Linked DNA regions of Oryctolagus cuniculus. The main gene of each other region encodes a partner of the protein of the gene in region 7 in a complex. Links are inferred from orthologs where the notes say so. Each region holds a gene or a part of one and is shown on either strand. Other genes may lie near its edges.

Region 1 (4,027 bases), on a different chromosome or scaffold from region 7:
GGGAACACAACCCATGTCTCCTACGTAAGCGGGAGGAACCCAGTCACTTAGGCCATCCCTGCTGCCTGCCAGGGCTGGCATTAGCAGGGAGCTAAGCCAGCAGCCAGGTGTGCGGCGGGATGTGCAGGTCCTAACCCCGAGCTAAACACCCGCCCTCTATAGCCATTGCCTCTCTCTCTCCCCAGCACTGTCGCCACTGGAAATCACTGAGTTAAGTTTCTTCAGCGGCTTATATAGTGTCTGACGCTCGTAGAATGAGCTTCAGGAGAGCTTGGCCCATGCACATGGCGGGATCCCCAGTGCGTGGTATACAGAAGGTGGTCGATACATATTTTTTGGGACAATTAAGTGACCCTAGAAGCTATGTGTGCTATGATTACCATTTTCCAAGTACAGAAACAGGCTCTGAGAAGGAAGTCACTTGGTTAATTATTCCATGAACATTTATTGAGCACCTAGGGTATGCCAAGCCTGTTCTCCACTCTGGGGATACAGCAGTGACCACAGCACCCAAAGATCCCCAAGCGCAGAAGTCTGTAAAATGTCCAACTGCAGCGACCAGGCCCCTCGGCCACTGTCTCTGAGCTCCCTGCTGGATTCAATGCCCCAAAGCCACCTGCGATAATAAAAGCCAAGCATGACTCCCTCTGGCCTTGGTGAGGGAAGCCCTGAGTCAGGCTGCGTAGACACAAGATTACTTAAACAGCCCCAAGAAAAGGACAGCAGCCCGGGATCACAGAGCAGGTGAGTGCTGGGGTCCCGGGTAGACATGGAGTCTGACTCCTGAGCCCGACTCTGATCCTGCGACTTCACCCATCCAAGTCAGGTCCAAGGGACCCAAGCCCGAGACGCAGCCACGTCTACCTCATAGGTTGTTACTGGGGCTGGGCAGCCACGTGCCTGGGCTTCACTAATGGGACCCTGTCGGAGTCACCCGCGAGCCAGGCACACAGCACCAGCCAGCCCTGCTCTGCGTGCTGCGCATGCTCCCCTAGGCCTGGCAAAGATCCGCGAGGCACACGTTGTTACTGCTCCCATGTGCACACAAGGAAGCAGACGCACAAACAAGGCCCTAACGTCACCTATTAATAAGAGGCTGTCTACGGTGCCAGCTTCCCACATGGGCCCCATTTGAGCCCCAGCTGCTCCACTTCCGATCCAGCTCTCTACTATGGCCTGGGAAAGCAGGAGAAGATGGCCCAAGTGCTTGGGCCCCTGCACCCACGTGGGAGACCCAACAACTCCTGGTTCCAAATTCGCTCAGCTCTGGCCGTTGCAGCCATTTGAGGGATGAACCAGCGAATGGAAGACTCTCTCTCTCTCTCTCTCTCTCTCTCTGCCTCAGCCTCTGTAACTCTGCCTTTCAAATAGATAAATAAACCTTAAAAAACATAAACACCTGGTTAGGACCCAGGCAGTCTGTGCTCCTAACCTCGACGCCACACCGCCTCTCAGCTGCTATCCACACCGTGCCGTTCCTCTCAGACAAGGAGACCGAGGGCTGGAGAGGTCAAGTCCAGAGGCCACAGATACATACATGGGGACTTAGTATCTGAACCCAGATGTGGCTGCCTATGACCCTGGCCATCACACTGCACCTCTACAAGGTCTGGCCTCCATGCAGACCTACAGAAACACTGGGTCTCCAAGTCCCTGCTGGGCCGTGTGGACTTGGATGATTGCTGCCTTCTCAGAGCGAAAGGCATTCTGACGACAGGATGTGGCCTCTCCTCTGTAAGTCTGGGGTGCAAACTTCTACTTTACAGTAAGAACTCAATAAATGGAGGCTGCTAGTCAAAGAACGAGAAAGCTGGGGAGGATCCCAGGACACACCCCCAAGGCAGCAAGTGGAGTTAACAGGAGCGCTCTGACATGAAGCGTGTGGATGGGGTCTCCCCCTAGCCCATCATCGTCAATGGCCATGCATGCCGAGGGTGGGAGCCAGGGTCCCCGGAGACGGGGCAGGAAGGAAGTGCGGGCCTCACGCGGCCAGCCTTGGCCAGGGCCGGGAGTGCTGAAAGCCCATGGGGAGAGGAGGACCCGGGGTGGGGCGGAGGGTCCAGGGAGAGCGCGGGGTCTTGGTGGGCAGTGACCAGGCCTGGGGGGAATACCTGTGTGGATGCCCCACTTGCAGAAGAGGCTACTTTCCGAGAACCCGGTGGCCCCCATGATCTGCCCGATCACGTGCACCTCAGCCATGGCGCTGGGAGGGAAAAGAAACAATCAGCTCTGAGTAGGGAAACTGAGGCCCAAGCAAGGGGCAGAAGGCCACCAACCTGGTTTTGTCAACCCTCTGAGGATGCAGAGTTATCCACCGACTCTGTCTCCCCGGGAGATGGGGGGAGTAGCCCTAGACTTGGGAACCGGTGCCTAACTATGCCCTCCTTAAACCTCTTCCTGACCTGGCTAAGTCCCGCTAAGGGGCCGAGAGCTCCACCCACAGCCATCAAAGCTCCGCCTCCCCGCGGCTGATAGCCCCGCCACAGGCTCGACGACGCATGCGTATTGAATCGAGGCCCGCCTCCGAACACCTCGGCCCCGCCCCTACTCGTTGCGCATGCGTCACTCCTACCTCACAGAGCTTAACGGCTAGTGGGAGCGAATGCGGCAGCCGGATGCTGGTTCTGGGCCGACTCCGTCCTCTTCGCGGGCGCCAGCGACGCCGGCCTCGCGCCTCCCGTGGGACCTCCCTGACAGCAAGGGCGCTAAGGCGCGAACCTCCGCGACCGCCCTCGCCTCAGGCTCCCTGGCCGTTGCTGGGACAACAGCAGGCTCCTCCCCTGGCCTTGCCCCCGCCCTGCACGCGGCCGATTGGTGCTCGCTGTCCTCGGGGGCGGGGCAATGCCGTGATGGACATCTCTCCGTAGCCTCTCCCAAGCCCCGGCCCCGGGATCCGCCGTTGGGGGCGTGGTCGGGCAGTTGCCATCTTGAGTGTGGCCGGGAAGTTTGAGCGCCGACTGTTTGTGCTGCAGAGCCTCTCCAGGAAATGTGTCAAAATAAGCTTCGCGGCCCGCCTCCTCCCCCTAAAGAACACCTGTCTCCCGTCCTGAACCCCACATGAGAGACTTGAGCCTGAGCTCGGGGGAATTCCCTCGGGTCATTCTGTGCATCCCCCGGCCTCGACTTCGGAAACAACCTCTTCTCAGACACTCAGAGGCTGGGGCGGGGCTTCCCTTCCCTTGCGGAGTTCCCCAGGCTGCTCAAGGCCCAGCGGTCCGGGCCCTCCCAGCGACTGCACGTTCGCCGCCAGTGCTGTGAGCGAGCGGCGTCCCCGGGCCCAGCGGTCCGGGCCGTGGGGCGGGTGCACGCGGGCGCCTGAGGTCCTGAGCGCCTCTCCCCGCCTCCGCGTCCAGGGCAGCCTGGTCCTCAGGACCGGGAGTCCCGCCCAGCCGCGCCTCCTACCGCGGGGGCTGCACACGTGGAGGACCGGGGAGGCAGCAAGGTGCACAGGACAGCATGCACACAGGTAGCGCCATCCGAGAAAGAAGGTTCCTGACAGACAGCTGGGAACGCCACGGTCGTGCGTGCCTGCTCCGTGCAGCCCTGGTAACGAGGACTGCAGGGCGTCAGGTCCTGGTCCTCGCGGACACACGGGGTGGGGTACACAGGGCTTCTGCTTCATGAAGACTTGAGGCCAGCGTCATTTGCATCTATTCCCGTTTGTCCCCCATCAGGGTGAATGACAGCACCCAGCTTGTGGGATTGTTCCAGACTGAAGGAGTCACCGTCTATGGATGTCTTCAATAGGCCCGCAGGGGCCGGCTTGGTGGCGCCTGCACCTCAGAGCGCCCGCTGAGTCCCAGATTCCTGGGGTGCGTCTGAGCAGACAGCAGGCAGTGGACTCAGGAGCTTGGAGGGCGGAATGCAGCACGCGCTCCTGGCTTTGAATTGGTCCAGGCCCTGATGTTGCCCCCTCTGAGGAGGTAACCAGCAAATGGCAGATTTCCTTTTTCATTCTCTTCTCTCTCACCTGGCACTCTGCCTTTTAAATTAATACTTAATAAAAAAAAAATCAAACTACCTGCTG
Region 2 (4,107 bases), on a different chromosome or scaffold from region 7:
CTTCAGCGAGGCAGAGGCAGAGGCAGAGGCAGAGGCAGAGAGGTCTTCCCTCTGCGATTCACTCATCTTATCTGCAATGTTGCACTGTGACCCCGGGGAAGCCGCCACTTGGGACACCCGCATCCCATCTCAGACACTGGTTCAAGATCCAGCTTCCTACTCAGGCATCCCAGGAGGCAGGAGACGATGCCCTCGGGTCCCTGACACCCCCGTAGGAGACAAGGATGGAGTTCTAGGCTTCAGCCTGGTCTAACTGGAGCTACTCCAGGCATTTAGGAAATCAATCAGCAAACCAACACTCTGTCTGTTACTCTTTCAAACAGGCAAAAAGAAACAAACATGGGTGGGGGGACAAAAGATCTCAAAGCAAATGCTGGCAGAGGGCCCATACAACATTCTTGTGTGTACGTATGAATTATCTCACAAAGTGAGATTTAGAAAGATATAACCTAAGAAAGGTAAAACAGACTCCGGGAAAAGGGAGAGGGGAAGGTTCTGCCAATGCACACAACGTTCTTCTTACTTTGAGATGTAAATGTTTCGCCCTTAAGTTTACAGGCTTTTCTCTAGCCAAGAGAATAATGTGGGTAGTGAAATAATGACACACTGGGGCTAATGCTATTTTTTCATTCAGGTTTCCTAGCTTGTGTGTTTCAAATTACAACCGCGATTTGTTTTCAAAACTTACAACCCTGGTAGACAGCAGTGAGACTATTAAGGATGAAGCAATCCTGCTCAGACCCCACTTAGGAACCAAAAGGTCACCTGTCCACCTGTCCGGGACGGGAGTGCACTTCCTCACCCAAGAAGTGTCTGTTCAGCAGCGGCTCTCCTGCGCCCTGGGCCTCCCAAGACCTCCCAGGGTGCTAACGCCCAGAGCTCAGATGCAGTCAGCGGGCCTGCAACCCATTCTGCAGACGCCCACCCAGTTCTCCACTGCCAGCCAGCCTCCTGCGTCACCACGCAGCAGCTGTGTGACCTGAAATCGCACCAGTCACTCACCTCCGTGAAGAATGGAGCTAACCATACCCACATCGCACGGACAACACGGATGAACTGCACGGCCTGGCATCTGCCACGCGGCAGGCAGTTAATAAATGAGTTCTTGCCACCCTATTTCTAAAGAGGAGTTCTTTTAAAACAAAAAGGACAAGTACAGATTCACCCTCCGTATTGGAAAAGCAGCCCCAAACACAAACCCTAATCATGATGGTTCAGGAACACTTCACTTGGGAAGAAAGTGCATTAACGGATGGGGTCCTTACACGGGTAAAAGACAACCCAGGCCAACAACTTCAGGGAATTTTGGGCACGGAAACTATGCTGTCCTAATTTACCACTGACCTAACTTCTCCATTAACTCATCAAATCAACAGGTTAAAATGTTTAAGTTCCGTTTATTCAGAGAGAAACATCTTTGTACTTCTTCTTACAGACTACTCATAATTTATAAAGGACTTTTTATAGAAATAACAGTTCAGAGGCCGGCGCTGCAGCTCACTAGGCTAATCCTCCGCCTTGCGGCACCGGCACACCGGGTTCTAGCCCCGGTCGGGGCGCCAGATTCTGTCCCGGTTGCCCCTCTTCCAGGCCAGCTCTCTGCTGTGGCCAGGGAGTGCAGTGGAGGATGGCCCAGGTGCTTGGGCCCTGCACCCCATGGGAGACCAGGAGAAGCACCTGGCTCCTGCCATCGGATCAGCGTGGTGTGCTGGCCGCAGCGGCCATTGGAGGGTGAACCAACGGCAAAGGAAGACCTTTCTCTCTCTCTCTCTCTCTCTCTCACTGTCCACTCTGCCTGTCAAAAAAAAAAAAAAAAAGAAAAGAAAAAAGAAAGAAAGAAATAACAGTTAGGAACTAGAGTGCAGGCTGTCAGCCAATGGGGCTTTTTAAATTTACTACTACTCTGCCTTACTCAATCTCAGAATCGACTTTTCTCTCAAGAGGGGAAATAAAAACGGATTAACCACTCACTGTGCAGGGGGCACTGTGCTATGCATTTCACCTGCAAAGTAACTTAATAAAATAAAATACAATAAAGATTCATAAAATCTTTTAAATAAAATATATATAAATATTTATCTTAAAATAAAATAAAATACAAATAAAAAACAATGCCGCACACCTTACGGAGGTTCCTCTCAATCCCCTCTGGATTCAGAGGATTAATTTTTTTTAGGATACAAACCCGTTTAAAAATCTGACTGCTAACGACCCTTGACTCCAGGGGTCGCACGGACACCCCCCACCCACCCCGAAGTCGCCCAGGTCAGGTCGGCCTGGAAATCGGCCGCCACACGCGTGGCTGACGCTCCCCGCGCCTCGGCCGCCGCCCTTGCACGCGTGGACAGTAACGTCGGCCGCCCGCGGTGACCGAGAGGACGGACGCCCAGGCGACACCCAGCACGGCCGGCTCGCCGCGGGTGTCCACGGAGCGCCGCACCCTCACCCGGCTGCCCCCTCCAGTCACGGTGGACCCCCACCCCCAGGAGTCGGCGCCCGGCACCCACCGTCCGTGACCGGCGCGGGCCTGGAGCCGAAGGAGGGCTCCGGGGCTCGGGAGGTTCCGGGGGGCGTAGGCGACACGGACGGTCCTAAAGTGGCCGGGGCTGCCTCAGTGAAGTTGTCCGAGGTCGCGGCCGGGGTCGCCGAGGTCTGGGCCCTCACCGCCGCCCAGCAGCCCGCCAGGACCAGCAGGAGCGGCCGGAGGCCCGGCAGCCCCATAGTCCCCGGGGACCCCGGCGCGGCCGGCGCGAGGGGCCGCTCGTTGCCCGGCAACCGCCACCGCGGGCGCGGGGCACCACGGGAAGAAGCCCACAAGGCAGCGCGAGGGGGCGGGGCGCGCGCCAGGAGGCGGGCCGAGGCGGCGGCGCGGGAACCCGGCTGGGGTTCGCGGCCGGCCTGCGGCGCCGACTGGGAGCGGCGGGTTTCCAGGCGGATCCGTAAGTCCAGCGCCCAGCCCGGCTCTCGGGGTTTTTAACGAGTGCGTGGACGTCCGACGCGCCGCGGCCCCTCAGTTCTCCCGGCCCAGACCCTGTGGCCGTTGACTTCTCCTTTTTCGGTTTTAGCCGCATCGCGGAGGGTCGCCAGGGAGCTTCTGGGTCAGATAATCACTTTTTTTTTTTTTTTTTTTGCAAGTTTGACAATAAGTAAAACAGTGCGTAAGTCTTAAAGGGAAAAACGGGCAGTTTGTAACTACGAATCGACCAGTTTGGAAGAATGCTGAACAATACACGAGGACACAGCTCACTTATTACATGCCCGTAGCAAAGTTAGGTAATCAGACGTCTTCCCGGTGCATTCCAGAGACGCTGCCTACAAGTATGACTGGAGGGGCCCGCGTTGCGGCCCGGCCGCGTAAGCCGCCGCCGGCCGTGCCAGCATCCCACATGAGCACCTGCGGGATCCCAGCTCTCGGCTTTGCACCTGGGAAAGCAGCAGCGGCTGGTCCCTGCACCCACGTGGGAGACCCAGTGCTGTTCCCGCAGACTTCAGCCCGGCCGAGCCCTGGCCTTTACAACTGTCTGGGGAGTGAACCAGCACATGGGAGACTCTCTCTCCTCCCCTCCCTTCTTCTCCCCCGTCTTCCTCCTCTGTCTTTCCCTCTCTCTGTGTAACTCTGCCTTTCAAATAAAAAATGTATTTATTTATTTGAAAGGCAGAGTTACACAGAAAGATGAGAGGCAGAGAGAGAGAGGTCTTCCATCCACTGGTTCACTCCCCAGATGGCTGCAACGGCTGGAGCTGCGCCGACCGGAAGCCAGGAGCCAGGAGCTTCTCCCTGGTCTCCCACGTGGGTGCAGGGGCCCAAGGCCTTGGGCCATCTTCCACTGCTTTCCCAGGCCACAGCAGAGAGCTGGATGGGAAGTGGAGCAGCCAGGACTCGAACCGGTGCCCATATGGGATGCCGGCACTTCAGGCCAGGGCATTAACCGGCTACACCACAGCACCGAACCTATAAATACATTTTCTAAAAATATATATATCAGGATCACACAGATGTGTCATAGATATTTCCAAATTTTCCTACAAGAGTTTGCTTTTGCACCTGAAACTTTTTATGACGAACTAATGAAATACTTCCCTTTAAAAATATATATATTTTCCAAA
Region 3 (3,953 bases), on a different chromosome or scaffold from region 7:
CCGATTTAGCACCCAGAACCCAGTGAAGCCAAAAAGCCAGGGGAGGCAAAGAAGGAAGCTACAGGGCCTTGGGAAGAACAATACCTCCTCCAAATTGGTGTAGCGGTCAGAGTCGGTGTAGGTAAAGATTCGTCGGTTCTTCCTGCCCCCCGACTGCTCCAGCTTCAGGATCTCTTGCCGGTACTGGTAATCCAAAGGGCTCTGACAGGCTGCTTCATTCTGGTACAGATCTACTTCAAACTGAGGTCGCCACAAGGAAACAGACATCCGAGATACCTCAAAATTCTGATCCTAGAACTACTACCAAATCAGTCCTAGAGAGCTGATATTATCTGACATAGCTCCATAATTAATTCTCATAGATTTAAACCAATGGAGGGCAGGGGACCCAAGAATGTTAGAGAGCAAAGGGGTGAAGCTCTAGTCCAACCGCATTGTTATAGGTGGCGTAGGGTCCACGGTGGGGAAACGTGCCTCACCCAGGGTCATAACACTGAGCGGTGGCGGTCACTATATTACACTGCCCTTGTAAACACAACAGAGGGAGGTACAAATTGCTACGACCATCCCAGAAATCACTTTGGCAATGTACAACCAGCCAGGTGGAGGGAGACCACGCAGTGAACGACACCGGCTCACCTGGCTAAAGAGCTTCTGCTGCCACCCAATGACCACCTCCTCATCTTCATCTTCCTCTGGGCGATGTCCACCTGCAAAGACAACAGAGTTACGTCACCACCATTTCTTGCTCTGAGGTTGATTGTAACCAAAGCCCCTACTCTTATGTTTGCCACAAAACCAGCAGGAGTTCAGTGATTTATTAAGCATTCAATGTAGACAAAGGATACACTGGAGTTAGCAGGAGTTGAAGCCAAGATTAAAACCCACAAAGTCTTAATCACTATTCTAATTTGAATAAAATGTAGTTCTGCCTTCCAGGAAGTAGTCAATTTAACTCATTGTCAGGAACTGAGCCTAGGATATAGGTTGACCAGCCAGCTCTTCTTCAATGCCAGCTGCCTGCATTTGCTAGGTAAGAACCCTGGCATTTTCATTTTAATTGTTCCTGAAGCCATACAGCTAGAATCACAATCATGTCAGAGACCAAGTGTCAGGAGAGGGCAGGGAAGGCAAATAAATGATTTGTTAAAGAACCAGATCTAACACACTCCAGGGGTGAGTATCTTTTTCAGAGACACAGCTTCAAAACCCCCATTTCACAGAGGAATACTTCTGAGTGCAGAGAAACAAAAGGCAGAAACACTAATGGCCCAATACAAGCACCAGCCTCTGTTCCTCACACCTATGGCTTCCCAGATAAGGAGAACCACAAGAACACTGTGGGTGTTCAAACGCACAGTCTGCAAGCAGTCTTCAATCGTAAAATTGTTTTTAAAAGTATTTACATGCATATGTAGAGTTTGAGCATATCTTTCTTAGACAAACGAACAAAAAGCCATAAATGGTACGGTTGCCAGGCCCATTTATAACATCAGATATACGCTATCTGTCTTTTGCCACTATACTGGACCACAATTTGCCTCAGTATCTTGATAGCAGGAATCGTATCTTATTCAATTTCCACAAATAACACGATGAAGTAGTTAACACCACCTTGGTTCAAGTGCAGGCTCCAACTATGTGACCTTAGGCAAGCAACACAATCTCTTTGCCTTCCATTTCTCCTAGGTAAGAAAGGTGCAGTTGGGGCCGGCGCTGTGGCACAGTGGGTTAAAGCCCCAGCCTGCAGTGCCGGCATCCCAAATGGGTGCCGGTTCGTGTCCCGGCTGCTCCTCTTCCAATCACAGCTCTCTGCTATGGCCTGGGAAAGCAGTAGAAGATGGCCCAAGTCCTTGGGCCTCTGCACCCGCATGGGAGACCTGGAAGAAGTTCCTGGCTCCTGGCTTTGGATCAGCTCAGCTCTGGCCATTGTGGTCATTTGGGAAGTGAACCAGCAGATGGAAGACCTCTCTCTGTCTCTACCTCTCTTTGTAACTCTGTCTTTCAAAGAAATAAAAATACTTAAAAAAAAAAAAAAAAAAAAAAGGTGCAGCTTTCTCTGAACACCACAGGCCTGGGTCTCTTCTGTCCTAACGGGAACCTCTACCCCCCAGGCCCTCCCTCGCCCAGGTCCCCAGGGGGCTGCGACTCCACCGTGACACCCACTGGCAGTGGGATGAGGCCTGAAGGTGGCCAAGTCTATGAGGTCCTTCCGAGGCTGGGCCGCAGGCTGGTAATGAAGAAAGCTGCCTGAGGTGATTCTTTGCAGGTGGACTCTGTGAAGAAAACAGAAGCTCGAATACGCGTTACAACACACACAACGCAGAGCAAGCATGGGAAATACAAAACACAGGGCAGGCGCCGGGTGGGGCGTGGGCCCTACGGGGAAGAGAGGGTGAGAGGACTACTGCGGAGCCAGGGCTTGAGGAATCGGAGAGCGACAGGCCTTGAAACGACCTGGCTGGGTGTGGAAGGCGAGCTTGGAAGCCCTACGTACAGAAGATCTGGGGAATGCAGAGCGATGTAGAGAGACCAGGGAGGAAGATCGGGATTGTAAGCGCAAGTGGGGGCCTCAGAAGAACGACAAGTTCAGGCTCGAAGGGCATAAAAGCATAGCACCCCGGGCTGGGGCGGCGCGACTACCGGAGGCGCAGGTTGCGCACAGGGTCCCGGGAGCGATACACTGCTTCCCCGGTGTCAGTACTCCAGACGGTCTCCGCCATGATATCTGCGACGCGCAACGACTGCGCCGGAAAGCACACCGCCCCCAGTTCCCCTGGCAACGCAGACGCTGGGGCGGAGACGCTACGCACGCAACCCGCCCTTCCCGCCGCGGCGTCGCCCCCTAGCGCCCCAGAGCGGGCAGTGCAGGAGCCTGCGAATGTCCGCTTTACCATTTGTGCGAACGAGGATCACTCACTCCTGAGGCGGGACTTAAGGCGCTGTACAAATGAGGGGCCAGGCACAGCCGTCAGCCCACTTGGCGTAAATGCAGGGTGATGAGACTAGACCTGTTTTCCCACTGTGCCGTACTGTCTTCCGCTGAACGCAAGAAAAACGGGCGGAGGAGACTGAAAGAATGCACCCATTAATCCCAAAGGAATCAGGGAAGGTGGTGGCACTCCCCAGACACGAACGCACATTCTTCAAGGGGCGGGGGAGGGGGGGTGCGGGTGTCCTACTTATTAGTCGTTGTGTTGGTATTCTCTGGGCCAGAGAAGGAAAAAACAGGGAGGGCCAACAGTTAAAACAAGGAAGACAGCAGCAGGAAAGAAGAGATGTAGTCATGGCACAGGTTCCTCCCCTGTGTGTTAGTTCCAGATTATTAAACTAACTGCTGTGCTGCCCTGGCCCTCTGAGAAGCCCACAGAGTGACATTCAGGACATGCCCTAACCTCAGCTGGCTCCCTTTAACATCTGCTACTTCCCCAACAGGGTTAGCAGTTGTCCCCTGAATTCAGGAATCAGTTTGATTGCATGGCCTTGAACACCTGGGGTGCCATAGCTGCTGTTTGTGCCTTGCCAAGGACTCTCCATAAATAGCACCATTTAGGTAGGAGCTAATTTAGCCTGGGAACTTTGTTGGCATTGTTCCCAATCCTCATGGAAACCCTAAGTCCATTTTTATCCCCATTTATTTTTTTAAAAGATTTATTTATTTACTTGAAAGTCAGAGTTACACACAGAGAAAAGGAGAGGCAGAGAGACAGAGAGGTCTTCCATCCACTGGTTCACTGCCCAGTTGGCCGCAATGGCTGGAGCTGCTGATCTGAAGCCCAGAGCCAGGAGCTTCTTCCAGGTCTCCTACGCGGGTGCAGGGGCCCAAGGACTTGGGCCATCTTCTACTGCTATCCCAGGCCACAGTAGAGAGCTGGATCAGAAGTGGAACAGCCGGGACTAGAACCAGTGCCCAAGCGGGATGCTGGCACTGCAGGTAACTGCTTTACCCGCTA
Region 4 (3,500 bases), on a different chromosome or scaffold from region 7:
TAGAGTGCCTGGTTCCTGTCACTGGTTTGTTTTAGAGAACAGATCCAGTTGTGACTCCATGTCCAGGGTGGTATACACAGATCATGCTAAGATACCCTCTACTTCTTGGAATGAGGATCTCTTTAGGACAAGTCTTTTGTTTCTGTTTTTGTTTTTAAGATTTACTTACTTCTGAAGTCAGAATTACAGAGAGAGGGAGAGACAGAGAAACAGAGATCTTCTATCATCTGGCTCACTCCCCAGATGGCCACAATGGCCAGGGCTGGGCCGGGCACAAGCCAGGAGCCAGGAACTTGATCTGGTGTCCCATGTGGGTGACAGGGGCCCAAACATCTGGGCCATCGTCTGCTTTTTCCAGGCCTTTATAGGGAGCTGGATCAGAAGTAAAGCAGCTGGACACAAATAGGTACCGATATTGGAGGCTGGTGGAAGCCTAACCCTCTATGCCACAACGCTGGCTCCTAGGACAAGTTTTATATTACAGAACCACAGAGCAAAACCCTTGTTAGAGTATCTTATCCCTGAAAGCCATGTTGAAGGACGAACTGAGGACAGAAACACTTGCAGTACAAGGAAGAAGGGATAAGGAAGCTCACGTAAATTACTGAGGAAAGAAAAAGTAATTTTATTGGTAAGGGACATTAGTAGGTAATTCACTTTAGAATAATTATGGGACTTATAAGCTTGACAAGGTGCCAAGTCTCACTAAGAAAAAGCAAATTAGGGGCCAGTGCTGTGGCATAGTAGATAAAGCCACCACCTGCAGTGCTGGCATCCCATATGGGCGGTGGTTCGAGTGCCGGCTGCTCCTCTTCCGATCCAGCTCTCTGCTATGGCCTGGGGAAGCAGTAGAAGATGGCCTAAGCCCTTGGGCTCCTGCACTTGCATGGGAGACCCAGAAGAAGCTCCTGGCTTCGGATTGGCCCAGCTCCAGCCGTTGTGGCCATTTGGGGAGTGAACCAGTGGATGGAAGACCTCTCTCTAACTCTGCCTTTCAAATAATAAGTAAATCTTTAAAAAAAAAAAAAAGGCAGCTGGACCAGAAGCAACAGCTCGGACTCGAACCCAGGCTCTCTAGTACAGAGTGCAGTCATGCAAAGCAGCACCTAATAATTGTGCCAGACACCTGCCCTGGGATGGCTAGCTAAAAAAAAAAAACTTTTTAAAATTTGTCTGAAAGAGAGGAAAGACAAACATACACAGAGATACTCCATCTGCTGTTTCACTCCCCAGATGGCCGCAATTCCAGGGATGTGTCAGGCCGAAGCCGAGAGTCTGGAGCTCCGTCCTGGTTCCCACATGGATGCAGGGGCCCTAGCACTTGGGCTGTCTGCCGCTGCTTTCCTAGGTACATTAGCAGGGACTGGATTGGAAGTGGAGCAGCCAGGTCTCAAACTGGCATTTTGGCCAGTGGCTTAATCTGCTATGCCACAACGCTGGCCCCCTTAAAATATTTTTGTGGAACTATAAATTAGTAATACCTGTTTGGTAACAGTTATTACTGTGAAAAATTCATATCCCTTTGAAATTTTGTATTTTAATTTTATATGAAAGGCAGACACACAGAGAGAAAAAACTTCTTTTTTAAAAAAAGATTTACTTTTCTATTTGAGAGGCAGAGACAGAGAGATCTTCCATCCCCTGGTTCACTCCCCAGATGGCCTCAACGGCCGGAGCTGGGCTGATCCAAAGCCAGGAGCCAGGAGCGTCCTCCAGGTCTCCCATGCAGGTGCAGGGGCCCAGTGATTAGGGCCATCTTCTACTGCTTTCCCAGGCCATAGCAGAGAGCTGGATGGGAAGTGGATCAGCCAGAACTCGAACCGGCGCCCATATGGGATGCCAGCACTGCAGGCAGCGGCTTTACCCACTACACCACAGCACCTGCCCCAGGAGAGAGAGAGAGATCTTTTATCTGCTGATTCATCCCTCTCCCCCTCCCTGCAAATGCCTGCAACAGCCAGGACTAGGCCAGCCCCAAAGCCAGGAACCAGGAACTCCATCTGGATCTCCCCTGTGTGTGGCAAGGACCACATCTGCTGCCTCCCATGGTACACATTAGCAGCAAGCTGACTCGGAAGCAGAGGAGCTGGGACTTCAACCAGGCACTCAGATAGGGGATGCCAAGAGGCAACTTAACTGCTGTGTCAGATGCCTTCCCCTTAAGGTTCATATTCTTAGACCTAATGGTTTCATATTGAAAACTGGATTAAAACGGCAACACTTCACAAGTATGTGAAGATTGCTATATGAGAATATTTATCGTCACCAGTTTTTTAACATCAAAGCATTAGAAACAAGCTATCAATACAAGAGTAGTTCAACCATGGAATTGGTTTGGTAGAATCATACATAACCATTGAAAATTAAGGTAGTTGTATCTATGAGAAAAAAATAAGTTGCAAGATAGTATGTATACGTATGTAAAAACTTCTAGTAGAGGGGCTGGTGCTGTGGTATAGTGGGTAAAGCTTCCGCCTGTGGTGCCAGCATCCCATATAGATGCAGGTTTGAGTGCTGGCTGCTCCACTTCTGATCCAGCTCCCTGCTGCTATCCCTGGGAAAGCAGTGGAGGATGGCCCAAGTCCTTGGGCCCCTGCACCCCTTGGAGACCTGGAAGAAGCGCCTGGCTCCTGGCTTTGGGTGGGCCTAGCCCAGCCGTTGAGGCCATTTGGAGAGTGAACCAGTGGATGGGTGATCTCTCTTTCTCTCCCTCAACCCTCTCTCTGTGACTCTGCTTTTCAAATAAATAAATAATTTTTTTCTTAAAAAACTAATAGAACTATATACATCATTTTATCATTTTATAATGGGGACATGCAGCGGTCTTTGGATGTTTTCTAAAGTTTTCTCTGTTGAAAAAGTTTTCAGTGATTATATGCATGAGTATATTATGATTATATTTTCAATGATTTATATATTATTTTTGTTGTTAAAAAATTGTTTTTCCCAAGTGAAGATCCCGTTGTCCTTGAGTAGGAGTTAGATTGGAAGCGGGACCTCTGGAGTAAAAGACCCCAATCCCACAACCCAGCCAGATCCTCCGGTGTTCGGTACAGATCCTTCCTCAAGTTCGTCTCTGCCTCCCACCTTTCCTCCCAGGTCAGGGAAAGCAGGCCATGGGAGGTGACTCCATGGGCTGTGTCTGACAGGTACCAAGGGAAACCTCTGCCAGCGAAAGATGCCCCTCGGCATTAGTGTGGCCTTGAGCTTCCCATCTGCCATGATGGCCTCCTACTACCTGCTGCTGCAGACCTACGTGCTCCGCCTGGAAGCCGTCATGAACGGCATCTTGCTCTTCTTCTGTGGCTCAGAGCTGCTGCTCGAGGTGCTCACCCTGGCTGCTTTGTCCAGGTACTGCTGCCAAGGGACCATTTCCCGTCGCTAGGGGGCTGGGTTCCTGTCCCAGGGAGGGATTCATTGTTCTGAAGCTTGAAGGAGCTAGAGGACTTTTAAGGGGGCATGGGGGTCTACGGGACTGCCTTTCCTTAGGGCAGGTAGGA
Region 5 (4,249 bases), on a different chromosome or scaffold from region 7:
GGTGCTGGTTCGAGTCCCAGTTGCTCCACTTCCAATCCAGCTCTCTGCGGTGGCCTGGGAAAGCAGTAGAAGATGGCCCAAGTCCTTGGGCCCCTGCACCTGTGTGGCAGACCTGGCAGAAGCTCCTGGCTCCTGGCTTTGGACTGGTGCAGCTCTCACTGTCGTGCCCAATTGAGGAAGGAACCAGCGATGGAAGACCTCTCTCTCTCTCTGCCTTTCCTTTTCTCTCTGTGTAACTCTGACTTTCAAATAAATAAATAAATCTAAAAAAAAAAAAAAAAAAAAGAATTAAGAACCAGGGCTAGCATTGTGGCGCACTGGCTGTAGGGGGTAGGGGAAGAAAATATTCCATTCGAGGCCGGCGCCGCGGCTCACTAGGCTAATCCTCCGCCTAGCGGCGCCGGCACACCGGGTTCTAGTCCCGGTCGGGGCGCCGGATTCTGTCCCGGTTGCCCCTCTTCCAGGCCAGCCCTCTGCTGTGGCCAGGGAGTGCAGTGGAGGATGGCCCAGGTGCTTGGGCCCTGCACCCCATGGGAGACCAGGAGAAGCACCTGGCTCCTGGCTCCTGCCATCGGATCAGCGCGGTGTGCCGGCCGCAGCGCGCCGGCCGCGGCGGCCATTGGAGGGTGAACCAACGGCAAAGGAAGACCTTTCTCTCTGTCTCTCTCTCTCACTGTCCACTCTGCCTGTCAAAAAAAAAAAAAAAAAAAAAAATTCCATTCGGTGGTACACTCCCCAAATGGCACGATGGCCAGGGCTCGGACATGCTGAAGCCAGGAACCAGAAGCTTATTCCAGGTCTCCCACATGGATACAGGGCCGCAAGCACCGGGCCATCCTCCACTGCTTTCCCAGGCACATTAGCAGGGAGCTGGATCGGAAGTGGGGCAGCCAGGATTCGAACCAGTGACCATATGGAATGCCAGGGCTTTAACCCGCTGTACCACAGTGCCAGCCCCAAAATTACCCAGTATGAAAGTGATCTCATGGTATGGGTACCATAAACATTAAGAGTTAGTTTTGGCTTCTCATTAAAATTGGAACTGCACGCCAGATGCAAGGGGGGACCAGGGCGGTGCACTGAAGGGAGTGGTTGGTTTCTGGTTGCAGAGCTAAGAGGCCAACAGCAGCTGTGTTGCACGAACCCGTAAAAACAATGAATGAATGAAACTTAATGGTTTATCCTTGTCTTCACAATTATCTCAAGCCTGCATGGTATTTCTTAGACTCAAATGACCAGAAGCACATGATAGAGAGGAATATAAACATGTGGAGAAAAAACCTGGGGCTAGTGCTGTGGCACAGTGGGTTTGACCTCTGCCTGCAGCGCCAGCATCCCCTATGGGCACCGGTTCAAGTCTTGGCGGCTCCACTTCCAATCCTGCTTCCTGCCACTGTTCCTGGGAAAGCAGCAGAAGACGGCCCAAGTACCTGGGCCCCTGACACCGACGTGGGAAACTGGGTACTTTCCTAATTAAAATAAGTCAATAGGGGCTGGCACTGTGGCGCAGCGGGTTAACGCCCTGGCCTGAAGCACCGGTATCCCTTATGGGTGCAGGTTTGAGACTCGGCTGCTCCACTTCCGATCCAGCTCTCTGCTGTGGCCTGGGAAAGCAGTAGAAGATGGTCCAAGTGCTTGGGCCCCTGCACCCACTTGGGAGACCTGGAAGAACCTCCTGGCTCCTGGCTTTGGATCGGTGCAGCTCTGGCCGTTGCGGCCAACTGGGGAGTGAACCATCAGGAAGACCTCTCTCTCTCTCGCTTTGCCTCTCCTTTCTCTGTGCAACTCTCATTTTCAAATACATAATAAATCTTAAAAAAAAAAAAAAGCCAATAAATTTCAGAAGTAACCAGAGAAAAACTATCTGTAACAAACTTTCTAGTTATTCATACGACCTATCATCTTTTTGCTGGGAACATTTTTTACACGAGTTTGTCTTGTAGGCCACTCACCTCAAGGACGTGGAAGAAGGAAAACTAGAAGTTTCGGCCCTCTTAAAGAAAAAGTCTCAATTTTACCCCGGACAGATGCACGCTGGAGCAGCCTCTGAGATCACGTGGGGCAGGCTCCCTCCGCCGGGGCCCTGCCGGGGAACAGGTGCGGGGCGCCCGGTCTCCGAGGGTCAGTCCTGCCCGGAGACGCCCGCCCCCGACCCCCAGCTTCCGCCGCGCCGCGTGAACGCGGCGACACCGCGGGACCCCGAGCGCGCACCGTGCCCGGCCCGGGTCAGCACGCAGCGCTGCCCGGGTACCTGGGCGTCTGGGGGAAGCGGAATTCCAGGCGGGAGCCACGCACCGAGACGAGCGGGACGCGCAGGCGATCCCCCTGCAGCCGGTTGAAGGCGGGGAAGGTGCTCCAGGCCAGGAAGCCGTCGCGCTCCGGTCCCAGCAGGGCCACGAGCAGTACCTGGTGTTGGAAGCGCACGGTCGGCTGCTCCTCGTAGCTGCTCCGCTTCAGCCAAAACCCTGAGAGAAGAAGGGCGTGAGAGGGAGAGGGGGACAGGTCAGGCAGGCCGTCCCGAGCGGAGGCGGTGGCGCGCACCGGCCTAGCAAGCTCACCGTGGCTCCGGAAGGCCACCAGCAGCGGCGGGATGTAGGTGAGCGCGGCGGCCAGGAGCAGGAACAGCGCTGCCTTGGAGCAGAGCCCCGCGCGGTAGCCGCGCTCGGCCGGGTGGGAGTAGAGCTGGTACAGCGCCATGGACGGCGCACGCCGAGACCCCTACGCAAACCGAGAAGGGACGACCAAGTTTGGCTGTTCCCGGCTGCCATCGTCGTGGTCTCCACGGCAACCGGCGGCGCCGGGAGGAGGACCAATAGTAGCGGCGCGGGCCTCTAGAAGGGGCGGAGCTACCTGGAGAGGGGCGTGGTCAGCCAGTGGACGGGCCACCGAGAGGGGGGCGTTGCGTGTTTTGCTTCGGGACGGCTGAGGACGGCTGAGTGGTCCACGCTGATGCCCGCAGGTCGCACACGCGTGGCCTCGCTCCTCGACCTGGTCCTGGACGAAGGCCAAGGCCGGGTTGCTCCGCCTCTGTGTTCTGTGGCTCCGGAAGCAGGACAGCGCACAGGACCCAAACCCTCGGCTCTGGGGCGGGCAGGGTCATTACTACGTACATTGTTACCTGTATTGGGTGCAGGTTCGGCTGCCGGTTTCAGAGGGAGCTACTAAACAAGATACATTTCTTTTTAAAAATATTTATTTGAAAGAGTGACAGAGGGAGGCAGAGATCTTTCAACTGCTGGTTCGCTCCCCCAAATGGCCCGAGGAGCCAGGAACTCCCTCTGGGTTTCCCACTTAAGGGCAGGGGCCTGAATATCTGGGCCATCATCATCTGCCTCCCAGGATGCCCGAGCAGGAAGCTGGAGTGGAAGCCGACCAGCTGGGACTTGGCACTCCCCTCTGGGACGTGTTGTGCAGTGGGTTAAGCCTTTTTTTTTTTTTTTTAAGGTTTAATAATTTATTTGAAAGAGTTACAGGGAGAAGGGGAGAGAGATCGTCCATCCGCTGGTTCACTCCCCAAATGGCCGCAGCAGCCAGGACTGGGCCAGGCCAAAAACAGGAGCCAGGAGCTTCAACTGGGTCTCCCACTGGGGTGCAGGGGCCCAAGCACTTGGCCCCTCCTCTGCTGCTCTCCCAGGTGGAAAGTGGATTGGAAGTGGAGCAGCCAGGACTCAGTTGGCACCCACAAGGGATGCTGGCCCTGCAGATGGTGGCTTAACCCGCTGCACCACAGTGCTGCCCCAGTGGGTTAAGTCGTACTTCCCAAAGATAACATTGGTTTATTGCTAATTGATTGCCCACCGCCTTCTCTGCCAAGCCAGTATTTTGAACAGGGTGGAAGGATTTTTAAAACCTATGATCCAAAAGAAAGGAAAAGAAAAAAAAAAGTAAGCAAACAACAAAAAAAAAGAAAAATAAATAATAAAACCAATGGTCCACAGCCAAGTTCTCCATCCAAAGGCCCTGAAGACTCCAGTTGCAGGATCAGGAGTCAGTGTGGGGGCCGGTGCTGTGGTGTAGTGGGTAAAGCCACCGCCTGCAGGGCCAGCACCCCATATGGGTGCCAGTTCGATTTCTGACTGTCTGCTTCGGTTCCAGCTCTCTGCTATGGCCTGGGAAGGCACTGGAGGATGGCCCAGGTCCTTGGGCCCCTGCACCCACATAGGAGACCCGGAGGAGGCTCCTGGCTTCACACTGAGGCAGCTCTGGCCGTTGTAGCCATCTGGGGAGTGGACCTGTGGATGGAGGACCT
Region 6 (4,189 bases), on a different chromosome or scaffold from region 7:
TCAACCACACAAAAAACCCAGAAGGAGGCCCTCCTTAACCTAGAGCTAACCGGGGGTCCACACTGAGAATGCAAATTCCAAAGGGCACAGAAACTGTCTCATAAATGACTCTGGTCGTTGTGAACGCAAAAAAAGAGTCCAGAAATACTTTAGTCACTAAAACACAGAAGAAAAATCACAAAGAAACAACAGAAGTCTAAAATGAAAAATGTAATGGGGTTGTTTTTTTCCCTTTCATTCTTTCCTGATCATTAACTTTGAATGAGATTCTAAGGAAATCAAATGACACCAAAATTTATTTTTGTTATGAACTCTGTTGCTAAGAAAAGATAAATCAATATTGCCCAGTGTTCATCCATGGCTTGCCTTCCTCACATGCACTGGGTGCTTGTTAATATATTCCTACTGGAAACATCAAAACAAGAGCTATGATTTACTGCACAGCTATTTTTGGGATCTTCCGATAAACGTTCTTTTTTGGTTCTCGCGGTAACACTCCGAGCTCAGCAACGCATGCCCCATTTATACACAAGGAAACTGAGGCTCTTGCAGACTCCATAGTTTGTACAAGGTCGTTGTTATGAAATGCCATGTTCAGAATTTGACCCCAAGACTCTAAGAGCCCAGAGTCCTCCCCCTTCCAGGCTACCGTGAATGATTGATTTCAAAAGAAAGCACGTTTTTAAAGGAAAAGTACTGATGCTTCCTCTGAACAAATGAACTAGTTCCAAGCATTGTCAGAGGGCCAGAGCCATACCTAGAGGGTCCTGTGAGTGGGGACTACTGTATGAAAGAAGAGGAAAGGAGAAACACGGTTCACAGAGCATTTCCACCTCGGCGCTTAAATCCAACACAGTCTGTGCCTCCTTCTGTCGAGCAGTGACACGATGGGTTTACAGAAGCATGTGAGGCCTTTACAAAGAGTTGTGTGGCCCTGAGTTCAAATTCCAGCCATGCCTTCACCTCCCTGAGACAGGCTCCTTCGCTGGTAAAATTGCGAACGTGTTCCAACCTCAAAGAGCAATCAGTTGTAAGGACTCAGTGGGAGGAAGTGAGTAGTAAAGTGTCTGTCAGCACTGGGCTCTAGGTAGGGTGAGGTGTCATTAGCAAGAAGAGGTGACAGTTGAAGGGAAAGGTGAAGAAAGGAGTGAGGAGGGAAAAGAGCTTGAGGGACAGAAAGCCCTGGGGTGACATGGGAGCCACTGTACTTACAGGCTTGACTTCCCACCTTCAGCCCTGGCTACCATAACCCACCCCTTCCCTCCAGTCAGGTCCAAGGCCATTGGTCTTCTGTTTCCATTTATGGTGCCTCTGAGAGGTCCTGCCCTATTCTCCGGAGCACGTTCTCCATCTCACCCTCAGAGCATTTGTCTGTCCCAGCCTGTTCCAGTGGGAACTCGGAAACCTGGGGAGGTGCCGCATGCACCCCTTTTGATTTCATTTTCTAACCCAATGAGTTATTCCAACCATGGCTCCCCTTAGTACCACGCTAGAGGCAGATAGCTTTACGGAATCATTTATCAGCTTGATATAGTATATACTGCCCTCAAAGAGCCCAAGTAAATGCCACATTTGAGCTGCCCTCGGTGGTATATGGCTAATGCATTGACCCGATATGCTAAGGACTCCCTAGGGGTCCCCAGGTGCTCTAAGCCCTTTAGACCCTTTTGTAAATCTCCTTTGTCACTTAGCTCATTGTAGTATGATCATCTGTTTATAGGGCTCTTTCCCCAGCAAGCTGGATTTCTGATCTGGTCTAATTTGTTTTCTCACACTCTAAACCTAAGCATGTTGTCTGGTACATTGTTAATGCTCAATAAATGTTTGAATCAACGACTCTGTAAATGTGCTGTAGGAGATCTGTCTGTCTATATCCATCTTTCTATGGAAAGAGATATTTCACACCAGTACTCAATTTATTTGCAGAAACTGTTCGTACAATGCAACAGCAGACCTGGATTTCCTGCTAGACTTCGTTAGTTTTTCATTGCATCCTTCTGCAGTGAAAGGAAACAATCTGTTTTAATTGCAGCCAGTGGATTTTCTAGCGGTCTTTTGGAAAGCAATGCAATCCGCAGCTCTGTGGTTAATCACCCCTTGCTTAAGGCCACTGAAGTTTGCACCTACAAGTACTTCTCCCCATGACCCACACAGAACGGAAAGGCCCAGAAATGCAACGTGCGGCAAAGGATTTGCTGAGTGCTGGTCTGGAGGCTGCGGGATCAGCCTGACTTAACACTTCCTGCATACCAGACGCCAGAAGGCAGCTTGAATCAAAACCACCCCAGTACTGCTCTACGTATTCCCGTCCCAGGAAGTAAAAATGTAAATAATGAAGAGATCCCCTGGACGGCCAGTTCATGAAATCTACTCTCAGGGTGCCCAGGGAGAGGCTGCACTCACTCGGAACCCATAACTGCAAACAGGAAAGCGTCACTGCTCCCGTTACGAACTGATTTACCTTACGTGCTTTACAAAAGGCACTTGGCTGCTTCCCGGAAGAGGAGGAAGGTGGAGAGAGATGGTCCTTGCTGTTGAATCCTCTGAGTGGCCGGAAGGGAAAGGCAGTGAGCTGGGGAGGCCCCGGGCTGCAGCCTGGGGAGCTGCAAGCCACGGCCCAGAGCAAAAACACCAGCTTAGCAACCCGTTCCTAGGGAAGGTCACTGGAGGCTTTTTTTTTTTTCTTTTAAAGTGACAGCTTATTTCTAGTAGTGGAAGGCAAGCCTCCCAGGAAAACGGAGGCAAAGAGAAACCAGCTTAGCGGGGAGCTGAGCAAAATGAGGGAAAACACTAGGAGTGCAGCTTCCTCTTGTCATCAGCTGGTCCTCCTGCATTTCATGTAAATGACAGGTGATGACAAGGATGGGGCAACTTAGACTCAGAGAAGGTCATCGTCACCTGATTCTGGAGGTGCCGCAGGCCACCAGCAAATACTGCGCTCAGCGACTTTCGGGCTAAACACGGAGGACTGACTGCACAGGTTTCATCTCTGCTTGTTCTCCGAATCCCACTGCAATCACTAAAAGGGGATTACATGTTACAGCTCAAAGCAGCAAAGGAAGTGGGAGAAGAGGCAAAGCAGGTGGCAGAGGAATTGGGCTGAGCAGGCCAAGGGAAGCCACATTCCAAGTGTACTTGTTTCTGTGTGTGTCTGCTCACGCCTAGGTCTCTCTCTCTCTCTCTCTCTCTCTCTGTATGTGTGTGCGCACTGGCTGTATTTTTTTGTTTTCTGTATTCTGGTTGCTCTGACATTTGGGACCTTGATCCTGGAGACAGCCTGCTGGAAACTCTACTTTCATATACAAACCAAGCAAGCGGGAGCCCCCCACACACCATCAACCTTTACCAACCTCTCACTTACCAGACCAGTGCTTCCCTGTCCTGACTCATCCCACGGCCAGGTAGCAGACACCCGAGAATACTTCCTGCAGCCCAGATCCCACCAGCATGGTTCAAACTCACTAAACTTAGCACACTTACCCTGCTTCTCCCATTCCTTCCTGGGAAAATCTCCAGAAAGACTCTGGCCCATCCTCTGCCTTTAGGGCTCCTGTGGGTGGCCTTGCATGGTGAGCCTTGGACAATCATTTGGGTGTATTGGAAACTTAACCCCAGTGCAACAGTGTGGAGGTGTTGGCCTGATGAGAGGTGATCAGCTCAGAGGTCTCTGTCCTTGGTGATTGGACTAATGCAGGTACAGGAGTGGGCTCATTACCACAGAGTGGTTTCCTTATGAAAGGATGGGTTTGGGGCCAGCGCTGTGGCGTAGTGGGTAAAGCTGCTGCCTGCAGTGCTGGCATCCCATATGGGCACCAGTTCAAGTCCCAGCTGCTCCACTTTCGATTCAGCTCTCTGCCTTGGCCTGGGAAAGCAGTGGGAGTTGGCCCAAGTCCTTGGGAGACCCAGAAGAAGCTCCTGGCTCCTGACTTTGAATGGACCTAGCTCTGGTTGCTGTGGCCATCTGGGGAGTAAACCAGCAGATAGAAGACCTCTCTCTCTCTCTCTCTCTCTCTCTCTCTCTCTCCCTCCCTCTGCCTCTCTGTAACTCTGCCTTTCAAATAAACAAATAAATCTTTTTTTTAAAAAAGGGAAAGGATGGGTTTTTCCTTCTCTCTTGCCCTTCTGTCTTCCTCCATGGGATAACACAACAAAAAGGCCCCTTCCAGACTCAGGTCCCTCAGCCCCGGCC
Region 7 (4,267 bases):
TTTGATAATTTTACGTAATAATAAACTTACCTTGAATAGCACTTCATATAATACCGACCAAATGTAGTCAGCAGGAGAAAAACAAAAAAAGAAACCATTAATTACAAATCTACTTAAAATTAAATTTAAAAATAACTGAAACCATTATATACTTAAAATAAAATCAGCTTTCACACAATGTCAGCCAGGTTACAAACTAGCTTATTATTTGTGAGAACTATACCATGTAATACTACTAATAAAATAACCCCAACATTTTCAAGACCCACATACCCATATTCCCTATTGTCTATAAGAAAGCAGATTAGGAACTGTTATTTGTCACTCACTATAATCAGCTTAACCTCTCAGGAAACTATTCTGGCAAACAAAAGAGGATTAGAATTCTACTAACAAGCACGGATCTCCCCCAGCACACCACGGTGACAATCAGGCTTTTGAATAAAGGAGAACATTCAGTTACAACTGCTATCCTCAGGCCCCAAAGATGCTTTACCTTTAAATTTTTGGAAGTTTCTTCTGAATCATACTTTCTCAACACTACACGTCAAACATTATTCGCTTTATGTTTCTAAAGTTCAACAATTAAGTTACTGTCAATCATGTTTACCTTGGTACAGGTGGAAGAGCTCGTGGAGGCCGCTATGGGGGGTGGGAGGGAGGAAGAAAACTGTGGATAAGTAAAAGCCTGGGCATCTTCATGTAATCTCAAATACCCTTAAGTTCTTTCAACAGCCTGCTGTTCAGAGTGACAGAAAAATCTGATGGGCCACCGGTGAGGGCACCCTGACGGGTAATGGTAGAATCAGGGTTAAAGGACAGTAAAGGCCAAGCACACGCCCCAGGGTCAGAACAACGGAAGGAGTCTGGGTTTTGTTCTAATTCAACAGGAAGCCAATAGAAGTTTTCCGCCACTTTGTAACGTGCGCAGCAAGTAACAGTGCCACAGACAGGATTTTAGGGCAGAAAGGTTGATATGAATGAGAAAACTCGTGTTAGCAGTGCAGACAGCACTGCAGCTAAGATGCATTCTGGAATCCTTCAAAATCAACAATTTAAGGGTCCACGGATCTCGCTACTTGCAGGAGACAGCGCGGTTAAATTCTAGATACTAGGAGTTGGTCTCACCCAGCCATCCTTCTGTTCAAATAGTACATGAATGCAAATACTCCAAGATCCAGGACAAGGCTGACTGTCTTAATCCTATGCAGTGGTCAAACATTACACTGGAAAGGAGTCGCACGAAAGCGCCGCTGTTCTAAAGATGCTACGAAGCGCGTTCCAGCCCAAGGTCCAGTGCACTTGCTAACTCCCTCATTCAAACATCCCGCAAAAATGACGTTTCACCCACAGCAGAAACCCAACCTCTAAGCCCCTCTAAAGCAGGACGGCTCAACCCGAGACAAGAATCCTAACCGCTCAAACATAACCACCGCTCGCTTACCACCTGCTTCTTCCCCATTCTGTCTAAAGCCGGGCCCGTAGGCCTCCGGCCCCTGGGACGTGCGGCGCCACCCCCGCCCGCCCGCCCGGCCGCCCGCGCAGGCGCAGTGCGTCATCGGGCTGCGCGGCCCAGGCCGCTTCGGGCCCGCAGACCCCTCGGTGGGCTGTAGGGCGAGGGGGCTGTGGGTACCGGGGCCGGGCCTGACCTCTGCAGACTGGCCGTGCGGGAAACTGGGCTTAGGAGCCTGGGCTGACGGGCCGAAAGCAGAGGCTCCGGCGGCCGTGGGGCTCCAATCACGGTTTCCCCAGGGTTTGCTGTGATTTGTCTGCGGGGCGTGAGGGAGGACCTGGGTTTAAAAGCTCCGCAGCCACAACGCTCTCTTTCCGGGCGGAAGGCCCGGCGCTCCCGACGGAGCCTGGAAGAGCCGCTCGCTGGCAGCCGCGGAGCCCGCCCAGCCGGGGCGGCGGCGGACGGAGGCTGCGTCGTGGCAACGCGAGCTCAGGCCCCCGGACACTCCCGGCCAGCTCCGGGGTCCAGTAACGGCCCACGGGGCCGGGGCCAGTAGGGCAGGCCGCTGCTGCCCCCCACCGCTGGCCTCTGCCCCGCTCCGAGGGCTGCTGCTGCCCCAGGGGACCCTCGTGGCCGCCGCGCTCCCTCCCCACTCACCGGGCGGCCCTCCTCCACACGAAACCGCGAGTCGTCCCTCATGGCGATCGCCCCGCGGGGCTCCCTCAGGGCAACGGCCTCGGCCCGAGCCGGGCTCCCCGCGCCGCGCCGGCCTCCGGGACCTGCGGGAGGCGGCGGCTTCGCAGCGCCCGGCGAGACCGCTGACGCCCGAGCCGGGTCCCCGCCCGCCTCTGCTCTGCCTGGCCCCGCGTCTCCGGGCTCTGGGGTAGGGAGGAACGCCCGGACGCCCCGGGCTGGACACTCCCCGGCGGGACTCCGGGTGGGCGTGTGTATTGAAATAATTCTCACACCGTCTCCGACAGTGCGTAATAAACAATTGAAATAAACAGTTCTCACAGCGTCTACCGACAGTGCGTAAATCGAATCAGAAACCTTCTCAAAGAGCCACAACAGAAAATTAAATCAGCCTATCTAAATATCGTTTAAAATGACTGCATTTTCTGTTTTATTTGGATATTTTTAGAAAGGGAACTTATTTTTAAGTTTAAAAAAATGAGTCATTACATGCTTTATAGAAAGCGATGGGAGGGCTGGAATGGGTAGGGTGAGAGAGTGATGCAGAAGATGAACTGATAAGGGGCCGGGAGAGCTACTGGGGGGTCCCAGATACAGGGGAAGAAAGAAAAAGACCCTAGCATAGCATCCTCATCTCGTGGCTTTCTTCTAGGGACTATGCAGGAGACTTGCGGTATCTCAGTATCTCGAGGTGTTGATGTTACCCATGAAATGTGTACATTAACCTTTCTTGCTGAGTTAGCCAAGTAGATACTTTGTGTAAAAGGCATTCACAAAACAGAAGTTTCATAAAGTGCATTTCCGAAATTAAATACTGCTCATTTTATTTAGGAAAGCTCCTTTTAACTGAATCTTGGAAAGACCTGAAGTCCCTAAGAAGCGCTCATTCTTGGTGACGTTATTGATATGCCCACCACAACCGCATCGAAGGGGAAGGAAAAGAGAAAGGTTTCCCTAAATGCCAAATGTGTCACTCTGCACAGCCTTGCAATATAATACAGAGCCATACTGTTGCGATACTGTTAATGAACTGCAGCACTTATCCAGTTGCACACACTAACATGGGTCAGTACTGCTGTTAAGACAGCAGCTGTTATTCCAGGTCTCCCCGACAAGGCTGCAGCGCTAAAACTCCAGCCCGAAGCAGGGGACCTCATGAAGACTCGGTGTCGGAGGAAATCCACGTGGCGGGGACCCACTGAGGCTCCTCCTGAGCCTTCTGTACAACAGATAACAACCGGGCACACGCATCTTGCAAGTTGTCATTCACAATCACGTAATCAAAAAACTGGCCAAACTGAGCCTCCATTTTTTGGGCCAAATCCTCCATCTCTTGTAGGTCTTCATCCTTCAAATGAAACAGAAAAAGGCAGGTAGCACGGACTTCATGAGACAAATAGAAATAATACACGCGGATGCTGTCACATTCGTTGTGAAGCTATTTATTTAAAAGCAAGTAGGCTAGATGTTCGAAATGCGAACATCAATTTCAAATGAAAGTGAATAAGAAAAATATGACTTTGCAAATACAAAATGGCTGCTTTTAGCATGAGAGTGAGACCTGGCTATGTCGACTTGGACGTCCCTAACTCACTGTAATATTTTCTATTTCTACTATTATGAAATGTTCATTCTGTGAAGGCATTTGGCCTTCACTGGGCATTAAAACATTAAATTAATTGCTGTTATTTTAATGTGTCCATGAGCACTCAAAATACAAATTTTGCTGCAATACTCCCTTAAAAGGTGACCAAGTATGATAGTGACCATACATATGATAGTGAAACAAGTTTGCCATCAAAATGAGAACACAATTTTAAATGCCCCAGTGACTCAGAGAAGTCAGCCCCAGACTGTATCTGAAAGGCAAACTGGAGAATCAGACTTTCGTAGTCATTGAAAAAAGTAGGAAGATAAAAGTAACAAGATGGAGGATGATACAAAGGTGACTTGAGGCAAGCACTTGGCCTAGCAGTTAAGATGCTGGTTACAGTGTCTGCACCCAGGGCAGGTGCCTGGCACAGTGGGACACTTGGGACACCTGAATGCCACGGGGATTGCCTGGGTTTGAGTTCCAGCTCCACTCTGCTTCCAGCTTCCTGCTATTGCCCACCCTGAGGG

What was found.
Region 1: TMEM237 (region 7) and B9D2 share a complex: the UniProt entries of both Homo sapiens proteins name them as parts of the tectonic-like complex. The link is inferred for Oryctolagus cuniculus from reciprocal best matches to the Homo sapiens genes TMEM237 and B9D2.
Region 2: TMEM237 (region 7) and TCTN1 share a complex: the UniProt entries of both Homo sapiens proteins name them as parts of the tectonic-like complex. The link is inferred for Oryctolagus cuniculus from reciprocal best matches to the Homo sapiens genes TMEM237 and TCTN1.
Region 3: TMEM237 (region 7) and MKS1 share a complex: the UniProt entries of both Homo sapiens proteins name them as parts of the tectonic-like complex. The link is inferred for Oryctolagus cuniculus from reciprocal best matches to the Homo sapiens genes TMEM237 and MKS1.
Region 4: TMEM237 (region 7) and TMEM216 share a complex: the UniProt entries of both Homo sapiens proteins name them as parts of the tectonic-like complex. The link is inferred for Oryctolagus cuniculus from reciprocal best matches to the Homo sapiens genes TMEM237 and TMEM216.
Region 5: TMEM237 (region 7) and TMEM231 share a complex: the UniProt entries of both Homo sapiens proteins name them as parts of the tectonic-like complex. The link is inferred for Oryctolagus cuniculus from reciprocal best matches to the Homo sapiens genes TMEM237 and TMEM231.
Region 6: TMEM237 (region 7) and CC2D2A share a complex: the UniProt entries of both Homo sapiens proteins name them as parts of the tectonic-like complex. The link is inferred for Oryctolagus cuniculus from reciprocal best matches to the Homo sapiens genes TMEM237 and CC2D2A.

The regions. Positions count from the first base shown.
Region 1 is NC_091449.1:13,268,896-13,272,922, reverse strand, and holds the start of B9D2 (B9 domain-containing protein 2), read right to left. Parts: upstream 2,801-4,027; 5' UTR 2,573-2,800; intron 2,499-2,572; exon of another isoform or gene 2,277-2,498; intron 2,204-2,276; 5' UTR 2,200-2,203; coding exon 2,112-2,199; intron 1-2,111. UniProt on the Homo sapiens protein: Component of the tectonic-like complex, a complex localized at the transition zone of primary cilia and acting as a barrier that prevents diffusion of transmembrane proteins between the cilia and plasma membranes.
Region 2 is NC_091452.1:8,272,264-8,276,370, reverse strand, and holds the start of TCTN1 (tectonic-1), read right to left. Parts: upstream 2,801-4,107; 5' UTR 2,722-2,800; coding exon 2,508-2,721; intron 1-2,507. UniProt on the Homo sapiens protein: Component of the tectonic-like complex, a complex localized at the transition zone of primary cilia and acting as a barrier that prevents diffusion of transmembrane proteins between the cilia and plasma membranes.
Region 3 is NC_091448.1:33,643,763-33,647,715, forward strand, and holds the start of MKS1 (tectonic-like complex member MKS1), read right to left. Parts: upstream 2,801-3,953; 5' UTR 2,724-2,800; coding exon 2,644-2,723; intron 2,277-2,643; coding exon 2,167-2,276; intron 711-2,166; coding exon 640-710; intron 241-639; coding exon 85-240; intron 1-84. UniProt on the Homo sapiens protein: Component of the tectonic-like complex, a complex localized at the transition zone of primary cilia and acting as a barrier that prevents diffusion of transmembrane proteins between the cilia and plasma membranes.
Region 4 is NC_091432.1:10,781,803-10,785,302, reverse strand, and holds part of TMEM216 (transmembrane protein 216), read left to right. Parts: intron 1-3,148; exon of another isoform or gene 3,149-3,149; coding exon 3,150-3,351; exon of another isoform or gene 3,352-3,500. UniProt on the Homo sapiens protein: Part of the tectonic-like complex which is required for tissue-specific ciliogenesis and may regulate ciliary membrane composition.
Region 5 is NC_091449.1:57,934,800-57,939,048, forward strand, and holds the start of TMEM231 (transmembrane protein 231), read right to left. Parts: upstream 2,801-4,249; 5' UTR 2,698-2,800; coding exon 2,559-2,697; intron 2,466-2,558; coding exon 2,296-2,465; intron 1-2,295. UniProt on the Homo sapiens protein: Transmembrane component of the tectonic-like complex, a complex localized at the transition zone of primary cilia and acting as a barrier that prevents diffusion of transmembrane proteins between the cilia and plasma membranes.
Region 6 is NC_091433.1:10,482,299-10,486,487, reverse strand, and holds the start of CC2D2A (coiled-coil and C2 domain-containing protein 2A), read right to left. Parts: upstream 2,801-4,189; 5' UTR 2,462-2,800; intron 1-2,461. UniProt on the Homo sapiens protein: Component of the tectonic-like complex, a complex localized at the transition zone of primary cilia and acting as a barrier that prevents diffusion of transmembrane proteins between the cilia and plasma membranes.
Region 7 is NC_091434.1:38,296,816-38,301,082, reverse strand, and holds the start of TMEM237 (transmembrane protein 237), read right to left. Parts: upstream 2,801-4,267; 5' UTR 2,153-2,800; coding exon 2,111-2,152; intron 643-2,110; coding exon 611-642; intron 42-610; coding exon 31-41; intron 1-30. Other genes in the region: MPP4 (MAGUK p55 subfamily member 4), read right to left, coding at 3,300-3,494. UniProt on the Homo sapiens protein: Component of the transition zone in primary cilia. Required for ciliogenesis.